Caenorhabditis elegans: one gene and its partners. The protein of the gene in region 1 interacts with the protein of each later gene in a biochemical or structural test. Each region holds a gene or a part of one and is shown in the gene's direction. Other genes may lie near its edges. The genes, in order: flp-10, frpr-8 and dmsr-1.

Region 1 (3,758 bases):
GAGACAGTTCCCATATTCTGGAAATGCTGAGAATTCTGAGAACTCGGCGTCATTGAATCACACGTATCATCATTTATCGTACACGTATCGTATCATTTATCATCAAACTTGAGCTATGATACCTATTTAACTTTACGTCAGCATCAGTTAGCAGACTAAAATCGAATTATAGTGGATATGAATAGAGGGCGGAAAAGCATGACAACAACGTTCGAATCGAAAAAACAACTTGAACCGTTGAGAAATGTTCAATTAGTGTTGAGTTCAAGAGCTCGGAGATCGAATTATTCCTATGATTATTTAGTTTCTCCTCTACTGTAGGTTTCAGAGCTGTGCTAAATTTATATGCATATAGAGAAAAATTATTTTTCTTCGTTGGAGAAGAAGGATCTTTTTGTATTGCATAGGATAAATAATCGGAAAAATATGCTAATCATAAGACAAAAACTTTTGGAAAAAAACTAGTGTTGCTTCGCGATTCGGCACCTGGGTGAACATCTCCAAAACGTGGGAAATTTTTTGAAAATTACTCGGCTAATGACTAGTGTTTTATCTCGTCTACTCATCATATACAACTTCTTACAAGTGTCTACTTCTCGAATTAAATTCCGATTTTCCCCGATTCGAAGAGCCGCACAGCTCTGATAAGAATCACGAAATTGAACTCGGAAAATCTCGAGATCAGTTCCGCCATATTCGTTTTGTTTCCTACATTCATTTGTTCTCATTTCAAATGTTTATTTTAGTCTTTCTCGTATTTTTCTTTGCTTATTCTGCGTTCCATCATAATATCTATTTTTCTTTCCATCTTTGATACGGAAATAACACATTAGGCTTGTGTTTGATGTGACCCAGTTATCACATCTCTCCCACCCTTGCCACGTCATCATTCATCCACAGAGCATTCGGGTCGAAGGGGGTGGAGCTTGTAAACGAGCAGGGGAGGATGCTCCGCCCGTCGTGTTCTTCTGCAAAGAATTGAAGTCGAATTTTTTATTTTTCATTCCATTTTTATGAGATGGTAGTTGTTGGTACGTACACCAGTTTTATGATCTTGGCCACTCAATTCGGGGTTTTCAAGTTGTTTTAGTGTTAGAGACCTCTGGAATTCAAGAGTACGTCTTGATTTATTTTACATGTAAAGTGGTGTCAATTGTAATTCCTCCAGGACCACTGTCATGACTTCAAGCTAGCTTGCAATTAGAGGTCAAAAGTATATGATACCGTTTGACAACAGGTGCCAATGAATCCACAAATCAAATACACGCGCGAGCCCCATCCTCAAACGAGACGTGATCACATTTAAGCCCGGATTTGCGGCAATCGAACATTTTTGATAATTGCCGAAATTGCCGAGTGCCGGACTGTTTCGGCAATTTTCAAACCTAACTAAAGTTAGAAAATTTTAAAAAAATCAGCCTTGTTCTTTAATAATAGATTAGTCTTCGTTTGAAATAATATTTTGACGCAAAAATTATCAGACTTATATTTTCGGCAATTCAGATTTCCGGAAATTCGCCAAATCGCCGAAATTGCCAAAAATTCGATTGTCGAATGGAAATAGTCGCGCACCTATGATCCAAGCCCTCAAAACCTGTGCATTACCTAAAAATTCCAGTATCCAAATTATTCATCTTTCAAACGAAATCTGAGATTTATATTCAAAATGGATAACCTCCTCTTCAGATCTCACTTTTACTCTCACCTTTCTCTTTTTCCACTTTTCTTATCCAATTAACGTTTATGACCGATAATAAAGGTCAGTTTGTTTTTGAAATGAGTAGAGAGAAGTGTTCAATTATTCCTTTTCCTTGTTAGACATTACCAGAACAATTCAATTTGCCACGTCATCAAAAGTACGTGATCAAAAAAGACCCGAAGATGATGTGATGAAGAAGGAGTGAAAGATGAAAGAAGACCACCAAGAAGCACGCTGAATTTTTGATATTATTAACATTTCTTCAGAGACTAGAGTACCTACTTTCGTTTCAACATTTTCTCATTTTCTTTCCTCTTTCCTCATTCTCATGACCTTACCATGAATTCACCCATCTCACTAATTATACGCCTAAATCTTTTCTTATTCTCGAATCATGGACACTTTTCTAGGCAATCAACTCATACAGCAAAGGATGCAACTCTCCATCGTTTTCGTCTTTTTTGTTCTCTGCTTGGCCGCTGTTTTTGCTGTTCCTATCAGCGATGGTAAGCTTTTTAACTGTATTTCTAGTATACACTCAGTTTTCGGTAAATGAGTCAAAGTAAAATCATGTAAGAATCTGAAATATTGAAAGTTGCGTTTTTTAACCATGAGAAAAATTTACTGGTTTTTTTGGGCATATGAGAATTTTCACTACGAAATTCGTTCACTTGAAAACATTTTGAGTATGCCTTCATAATATCGTTAGTTCTCCTTTACTAAATAACTTCCAATTTCATCAGATTTTTTTCGAAAAATTTTTAACAAGCTGGCTTAGTCATTATAAAAAACCGAGCTATTTTGGGTAAAATACACAGATTTGTTTGTTACAAGTTTTGCAACTGGCAAACAACTGATTTTGTTGTTTTTAGGCGATCTCACAGAATAATATTCTGTAGTTTGAGTTTTCCCAGCGTCAAAGAGAAACAAAATAAAACCGAAAACTGTCAATCAAAGTGGATTGATCAGAGTAAAAACTATCTTAATAATCCATTTCCAGCTTCCCGTGCTCGTCGTCAAGTCGCATCGGAGAAGCGTCAACCAAAGGCACGCTCTGGATACATTCGATTCGGAAAACGAAGAGTCGATCCAAATGCAGAACTTTTGTATCTCGACCAACTTCTCATTTGAATCCGGCATTCCGACATCTCTTTCATCATCTTCTTCATCATCTTCAACAAAATCCACGTCATCATGCGCCCTTTCTTTCTCTGCGTCTCGTCTAGTCTCTCATTCTCATGTTACAGTAATCCAACAATTATTGAACACTGAACAATTAATTCCTTCTTCTCAACCATCCCCACCAGTCGTCAAGTTTTCGTTTCATCAAATTTCTTGACCTGAAAAATATTCGTTTCATATTTCTAATAACGAAGATTTGATCTCGAAGCGCTTTTAACTAAAATGTCACCAAATAAATTATATTCATTTAATTTTACAATTGCTTCTCTTTTTCGTCTTTTATTTCTCTTGAATTCTTCTCCACCCATCGACCCCCGAACACATCCCAATGCTTTTTTGTTTGATTGTCGCATTCCAGTATTTTCAGTTTCAAAATACACAGCGAATAAAACGATTTGTTGTATTTTTATATTTAATATCATAAAAATTATTATGCTCAAGACTTTGAGTTCTCTATTTCAATAGAACATTTCCGAGTTCGTGAATCAGGGTATTGTGAATATGGATGAAAGAATCTGCTTCTATTATGACTTTGTGTTTATTTCTTCCCAGTTATTACATTATTACGTTATTATTAATCACTAAAATCTACTAATTGACGTTTACAACTTTAGTAGAGATCTGTTAAACATTAAAGCTCCAAGAAAACTACTCAATCAGTACAAGAACGAACTAGTCATAATTTTGGCGACCGCCGAAATTACCAACTGAATTTAATTTAAGACTTTTTTATTAAACTGCATATGAAACCCCAAACTTCGTCCTTTATATAATCAAATAAGAGAGACAAATTTTAAGATTTTTTTGTGTAGATTTGTGATTACTACAGTAATTCTTCAGGGGGTTGTGTGTACTCTAAATAAAAAAGGAGGTGGCA
Region 2 (3,758 bases), on another chromosome or scaffold:
TTCCACTTTTAGTATTTATTCGTTTTAAATAAGTATGAAATGAATAATCCACCTCTTGCTTTTTTTGCAGTTCCTATAAGTTCACGAATGTATTTTTCATATCCATTTCCTTCATTTTCAATTTAATTCGATAATTATCGTTATAGTTTTTAAGACTATTTTTCCGTACACAACTTTGCACATAATGACTATCTGAGTCAAGCTCACTTTTCCGCTAAAATGAATACGCAAGAATATCAAGAGCTCACTTTTAGAACTTCGATATTTTTGTTTTTCTTAGAGTGAATACATCTTCCAAAAATACATCGAATGTTTTTTCCAAGAAAATGCTCGTTTGAACAACGAGTGTAAAAATATGTCCTTGAGCTATGAATTATGAAATATGTGAATGGTCAACTAGAGCTTGCCAAAAAATATGAATTTTTTCTTCAAAGTCTTCAATTTAAAGTATATATTTTATCCGGAAATTACAATGACATCATGTTAATTTTCTTTTTTTTTAAACTTTTTTTCATTTTGGTGAGTGAGTATATCTACAATTAGAATGAATAAGTTGATCAAAATCGTTTGAAAAAATTTTATCATTGTATTATTTTACATATAAAAGTTAAAAATACAAAGAATCCAATTTTCAAACTCTTTTTCTAAACAGAAACAAGTCTTTATCGCTCTTTGATTTTGGTTTGGGTACAATATCTCAGTAAAACCATACTTCTTTAACTAATCTTGTATTTTGACAAATCATATTTAAAGTGAGTTTTCGTAAATTATTATTCCCCGTAATTGGAACAGGTTTCAAATATCAAATAACATTTCTTCAATCATCATTGCTTATTCAAAGAACCTCCTTTGTTTTTGTGAAAGCTACGTGATGATACCAGCCGTTCACGACTTTTTGGCTTCCACTTCTCCGCTAACATATTCATTACTGACCATGCAGTCCCCTTTTTCTCAGTAGTTATTCACAAATTCTTGATACTATATATAGTCGAACATCATAAAAATGACTAGTAGTATATTTCAATTCTGCTTCGTCTTTTCATTGATGCCCTACTATTTACCAGAACTCACTTTTTTGAAGCCATTTTGTAAGGCATCAATAAAGTAAGACTAGTTAGTCTTGAAGATCCAACTGTTTTTTTGTTTTGAAAAGAAAGAAAAACTTAAGAAATTAGTGGATGGTTTTGTTCAAAATTTTCGAAAATAAGTGTATTTTCTCCTAGACTTTTTGAAAGTACGAGTAACAAAAACGTATCTTACTGAAATTGTCAACTATGTGTTTTTGTTTTAAATTTTCACTCTTATCTTAGTTTACTTTCTTTTTCTTAACAAACCAAAACTCTGATTTTGAAAAAAAGTTCTCATTTAATTATTCGCTCGAATAAACTAATTACAAGTTCATTTTTGTGTTAGTATGTATACCATAAATTTTACTTCCTACTTTCTCCGAAGTTTCATATATATTCGTTTTGTTTTACAAGTTTTATATTGAAGAATTTAGTCACCTAATACCATTTTCAAGGATGTATGTTAATCGTTAAATTTGAATAGACCCCTACGTCACTGCTTCTTTTTTTCAACTTTTGAACTTTGGTTGCTCCGTCTTCGCTTTTTTGTTTCGTTTCAACCAAAACTCAATTATCTCTTAGTTAGAGCCTTTTTTCTTTCTAAAACCAATTTTTATCGTGTTCCAGTGTGTGCCACACCACTTCGGCCTCTGGCTATGAACTCGACAGTTATTTCGCTTCTTAATAATTCTACACTGGTCACTACGGATCAGCCAGGTTTTTCTGGAAGTACAAAAGGAACATGCAGCTATCCAACTAATTTTGCGGAGGTCGATTACATTAGCACATATATTTACCTGCTTGCCATTCCAACAATTTGCGTGCTGGGAGCCGGCGCTGCGGTAATGTGCATTGTGGTGTTCACTAGGAAACAAATGAGGTTCGTTTTATTGAAGAGTACTTGTGAGAGTATATCTAGAAAGGACTGAATTCGAATTACCTATCCACTTCACTTTTTAAGTTAGAAAATATAAGAGACGCAAAGAAAATCTGTTCCCCGCAACGAAAAGACTTCGAACGTTTTGAGAAAGGACGACGAAGTCACGTGGCTTACGGAAACGTGTACGAGGGAAACTTTTTCATTTTTCTGCGTCTATATCTTCTAACAAACACAGTAACGTGGATAGGTAATATGTTTAATCATTATTTCTAAAAAAATGAATATGTGATGCGTGTATATCTGTACCCCAAATGGTTCACAGGAAAATAATAATTTTTATATGAAAAAAAAACGATAGCAGTTTTTTTTTTCACAAATTATGTTTCTGCCTTTTTTGTCGAATAAAGAAGGAGTCTTGTCCAACAAGTAAATCAAAAATAAAGTTAGGGAAACACCAAATGTTTTTCCCTGATAAAAATACGCTATTTAGTTCTAAAAATAAATATTTATTAGCCTATATATTTATAAAAATTTACCTCACATTAGTCAAAAACGAGCTATAGCTTTAGGCTGCTATTCATTTCAAAAAATGATCAAAAACTATTCAAATAAATCTTTCAATTTGTTCTTGCTGCACAATTCAATTGAAACAGTGATTTCAAATTTTCTTGGCCCTTAATAAACATTTTAATTCATGTACAACTGACGACATTTTTATGATTTTTTTTGATTGTATTAATCTTTTTGAAAAATTAATGACATCAAATTGTTCCCCATTTATTTAGTTTTAATTTTCTTTGGTAGTCTGTTCAAATACTCATTTCAAGAAAAAAGAGCAAATAAGGATACATAGAAATACAAAATATTTTTAACTTCAGATCATCACTCAACGTATATCTTGCCGGATTATCGGTTTTCGATCTTATCCTGCTTTCATTCAGTGCTCTGATCTTTTCACCTCTCCAAGGTTGCGTTTTGCAGGTGAGCGTAGATAACTGGTTGATATTCAGTGGAATTTGTAATGAGATGAAGAAATGTCCATCAATTTATTCATCGATAAGCTCATAGCACGGAAAGAGAAATGAAAAAAGTTATTTATGATATTGAAGAGGGATTTAATATTTCTCAAAACTTCGAGTTTCATCAAGGTCTGAAATAATTTTCTAATGTCTTAGAAACTGCGTATAATTTATGTTTCCAGAAATATGAATGTTTCAGAACACCACTAAAAACAACTATGTTAGCAATAATTCAAATAAACTATTCAGGGTCACGGGGACACCGCGGTTTGTCATTTCTTCTGGAGATCAACTCCTTGGACGTTACCCATATCAAATATCGCACAATGTGGTAGTGTCTGGACATGTGTTGCAGTGACGGTGGATCGATTTCTTGCTGTTAACTATCCGCTTCATAGCAAAATTTGGTGCACACCGCGCCGAGCAACAACAATACTTATTGCGATTACGGTTTTTAGCATATTGTTCAAAGTAAGTACAAGAATTGTCAATTTTTTATTTTGTATTTCGAAATACACACAACGTTTTAAAGTTTCGTATCCTGACTATTATGGTCTAAAGTAATGTTTTTATAATATATCAAATTTGCATATTACGGAAGTCTGTTGCTACGATAATTGTAGTTTAAAGGTTTTTTAAAATAAAATTTCTTGTGAAAACAAACATCAATGCTATTAGAGTTTGTGACCCCAGTTTTAAAATCATTCAAGCATTCAGAATATTAAACATGTCAGCACACTGTTCATTGATAATAAGTTGATCACTGTGTGAAAATGTTCAATTTTATTTTAG
Region 3 (3,758 bases), on another chromosome or scaffold:
CCTCATCTCTCTAAGTTTGGTCAGTTTATCCTACGGCTTCTTCTTCTGTCACCTTTTTATGTGCAGAAATAGTTGCGTCATTCGTAAGGTCACATGAAGTTTCGTTTAAGTTAGGCAAAGAGCCCATCCACTGTCACAAATTCGGTTAGCTTCAGAATTTGCATTTTTCTCGGTCTCAACATCCGTCGGTTTTTTTATTTGGCCCCGTACCTTCCATCTTTTTCTCCGAGTTTGATACTTCTTGTGGGTACTTTTTGTACTCTCACTCGTATCATACTTCTTGATAGGTCTTCTCAACTATCAACTTGTTTACAAGTTTGTAATATTTTTAGAATTTTCTGTTCTGTAAATATGTTTACATGTTGTTGGATTTTGATGTTTTAAGTATAAAGGATTTGATTGCATTGTGGAAACTTTTGGCGTTGCATTTTAAAGTTCGACGTCACAAAAAATAATTTTAAAAAGTAAAATAAGAGAAGTTATAATAATCCTTATTTTTCAGCTATTTTTCAATACAATTTAATACACAAAAATGATTTAACAAGCAATATAGGAAAATCCGACCTAACCGGACTTCCATCATTTTCCTTCCCCTAACTCAAAAGTAATTATGCTTAAAATTTTCAATACTTGGGATATGTTTGCCAGTGGAGTTTGATCTTGTACCTTTTACTTTTTTATCGTAACTTCAAACCGAATTCCGGCAAATATTTTCATTTTCAGCATAAACTTTTGTCGTTTTCTTTAATGATAAGTGCGAAAAATTCCTCTGGCACGAGAGTCAGCTCAATGAGTTTTTTTCCTGAAGTGACTCCGGAAATGGGTGCTCACCTGACATGTGGTCACGGATCAACACATGACTAACTTTGGAAATATCTATCCAAACCTTATCCGCTCTGTAATTAGAGTTGGAGCGCGCTAGGCCGCCTCACACACTTCCGAGCGCTGACCGAAATTTGGTTATATTCTGATGTTATTTTTTGTCGGGGAGAGATGCGTTGCACCCCGCTCTGCGTTTATCTGTCCGTGCTCAACATAAAAAAGGTTCTTTTTTTTGAGTAAAAAAGCAACAAATTCCGCCCATGCTTAGATACTGGGCCCATCATGGCGGCGAACGGAAGGACTAGGAAGCGAGGCTTGTTTTGAGTTTCTTTTAGTGATCGAATAGCGGTTGGAAGTAGATACGGATATTGCACATATATATATATATATATATATATATATATATATATATATATGTGTGTGTTTTGAAGTGAAGAGACAGTGAAATAGTGACAAAAAGCTGTTGAGATATCCATTTAGGTTTTTGAATTTTCTATTTTTCAAAATGCGTAACGTTTATGGTTTTTAATGACGTGATGTCTCTCTGAAATAGCGGGCATTTAAAAACAACTCTTCTTCCAAGTGATAGAAAAAGAAATAATTATCAATTTATTTTTCCAAGTGCCTGGAATTTGTGACATTTTCTTTGTAATCGAATACATGCTCAATTGCCGAAATTGTGTAGCGGCAAAAAAATTAATCAAAAAACGAATGTGAATATGAATTTGGTATAGTGCATATCAATTTTTCCGAAAATTTGTGTACTTTTGAATGTATTAATCTTGTTCAGTTTATGCAAATTATTCCTTCTGAAGTTCATTCAAAACTTTTTGGCTCTCTTTTTTCAATTGTACTCTTAATTTTCCCAGTAAAAAAATCATTAAACTTCCTGTGCTATTTTTATTTTTATATTTTCTGATTTTGCAACTCCTTCAATTTCTGAATAATGATTTCTTTAAGGAAGTTTTATCTGCAAGATCTCCCTAATTGGCAATAATTGGTGTTTATCTTAGATTTTTGAGCAAAAGCTTGCAGTATATTTTTGTTAGTTTTTTTGTTCCAAAAAAACACACTCACCCTATTATTTGAGTGTTTTTGTTTTAAAAAGTGAATGAGCAATGTGTTGCCAAATCTTTGTCCCTTTTGTCATTTTTTTCATAGTCATCTCTCATTTCTAATGACGTTTTCCGGTTTTCCGAATCGGAGCCGTTTTTCATTTGAACGCTTGTTTTCCTCATTTTCAACGTTTCAATATTAATAAATTGTTGTTTTTTTTCAGATGTTCAAATAGAATCAGAAACAATAGAACAGAGGAACAGCAAACAAAATGGAGTTTACCGAATGCAAAACTACATTTATTCATCTGCCCGATAAAAGTTTTTTATACGATGTTTTTGTGTAAGTTTTACTTTTGTGTCTCAAAAATCTTTCAAATAATTGCCCAGTACTGTTGTATTTGACGTATTTTCAAAAAGTACAGTTTATCATCATTAAAAGTTATCCTATTATTTGTAGAAATCATCCCTAAAAATAGCGAATAAAACCAAGTTATTGAAGAAGGTTATCTTATCTTAAATTATTGTGTCCTCAAAAGTGATGACCATAAAAAAGAGAGCCATTAATAAATATTTCAAGAGCAAAAGTGGAAAAAAGTGAAATTAAACGTTTTTTTTTCAGAAGTGTATATAATTTCTACCATCCTATACATGCCTACTTATCAATATTTCTATGCGTGTTGGGTACAATCGCTAATTTCTGTAACATCGTCGTACTAACGAGACGAACAATGCGAACGCCAGTTAATATGATTTTGACAGCAATGGCATCTTGTGATACAGTTGTGTTATTTTCAAATTTAATATACACAACACATTACTCATTTGTCGCTTTCAAGTTTTGTCATCCGAAACATTGGTCCTACTCTTGGGCGTTATTTTTAATTGCTCATGCTCATCTTTCATTAGTTGCACATTCTTCAAGTGTTTGGTTGTCAGGTAAGCTTTTCATTCTGAAGACAACTGTCCAACTCTTCGATTTTATTGCAGTTATGCTTGCACTTGTTCGATATGTAACACTTCGAAGTAGGGGAAATATGGGTGGTATGCAAGTGACGTTAAGGCATTCTTATTATGCCGTTGCTGTTACTGTATCCCTTGTAGCAGTGCTTAATGCACCGAATTTTCTGAATTACAAAATCAATGAACAGCCATTGAATGAAACGTGTACCGATTTGGATCCAATGTTCTGGAATTCGCCCGCGTATCTTCCTGGAATTGCAGACATTGCAAAAGCAAACAGCTGTCTGGTAAGATTTTTGAATTTCAGTAAAAAAAAAACAAGATTTTTGTTAAAAAATAATGTTTGACAAATTGTATACAAACAAAATTTCTCGAAAAACTTTTTTATTGGAACTTAGATTTATAAACTAAAAATTTTGGCAAGATCATCATAATATAACTTTGAAGCTTTGGATTTATATAAACCTTTTTGGAAATAATTGATCGATCATATGTACATATGATATCATGAAAATTATACAAAATAATATTTATCATCGTGATCGTCACCCTAGCAAAAACCAATTTCCTAATTTCCTGCAGGTCTTCCGGTTATCTTATTGGATATCCGGTATGGTATTCAAAGTATTACCATGTGCGCTTCTATCGTTGTTTGTTTGGCTCCTTTTACGAATTCTTCGTGAAGTGCGTGAGAATCGTCAACGTCTTCTCAAGAACTCGCAACATCGACCACCGAATCAAACGACTACTCGAAACGGACAAAGACTGAGCATTTCAGTTGCAGGCAACGAGAAATTAGGCAGAAATGGAAGCTTACGGGGGAGAGGAGAACGTGTCGATCGGACAACTCATATGTTATTGGCAATTGTAGCAGTTATGCTAGTGACTGAATTACCTCAAGGAATTATGGCTGTCTTG

The links.
Region 2: the proteins of flp-10 (region 1) and frpr-8 interact in a test that uses a peptide from one of them, tested with the Caenorhabditis elegans proteins (one large-scale study listed by BioGRID).
Region 3: the proteins of flp-10 (region 1) and dmsr-1 interact in a test that uses a peptide from one of them, tested with the Caenorhabditis elegans proteins (one large-scale study listed by BioGRID).

The regions. Positions count from the first base shown.
Region 1 is NC_003282.8:7,866,798-7,870,555, forward strand, and holds flp-10 (FMRF-Like Peptide), read left to right. Parts: upstream 1-2,109; 5' UTR 2,110-2,132; coding exon 2,133-2,205; intron 2,206-2,699; coding exon 2,700-2,830; 3' UTR 2,831-3,284; downstream 3,285-3,758.
Region 2 is NC_003284.9:8,696,094-8,699,851, forward strand, and holds the start of frpr-8 (G-protein coupled receptors family 1 profile domain-containing protein), read left to right. Parts: upstream 1-1,723; coding exon 1,724-1,947; intron 1,948-2,825; coding exon 2,826-2,928; intron 2,929-3,215; coding exon 3,216-3,437; intron 3,438-3,758.
Region 3 is NC_003283.11:11,436,669-11,440,426, forward strand, and holds the start of dmsr-1 (G-protein coupled receptor dmsr-1), read left to right. Parts: upstream 1-2,101; 5' UTR 2,102-2,149; coding exon 2,150-2,220; intron 2,221-2,499; coding exon 2,500-2,816; intron 2,817-2,867; coding exon 2,868-3,127; intron 3,128-3,422; coding exon 3,423-3,758. UniProt on the Caenorhabditis elegans protein: G-protein coupled receptor.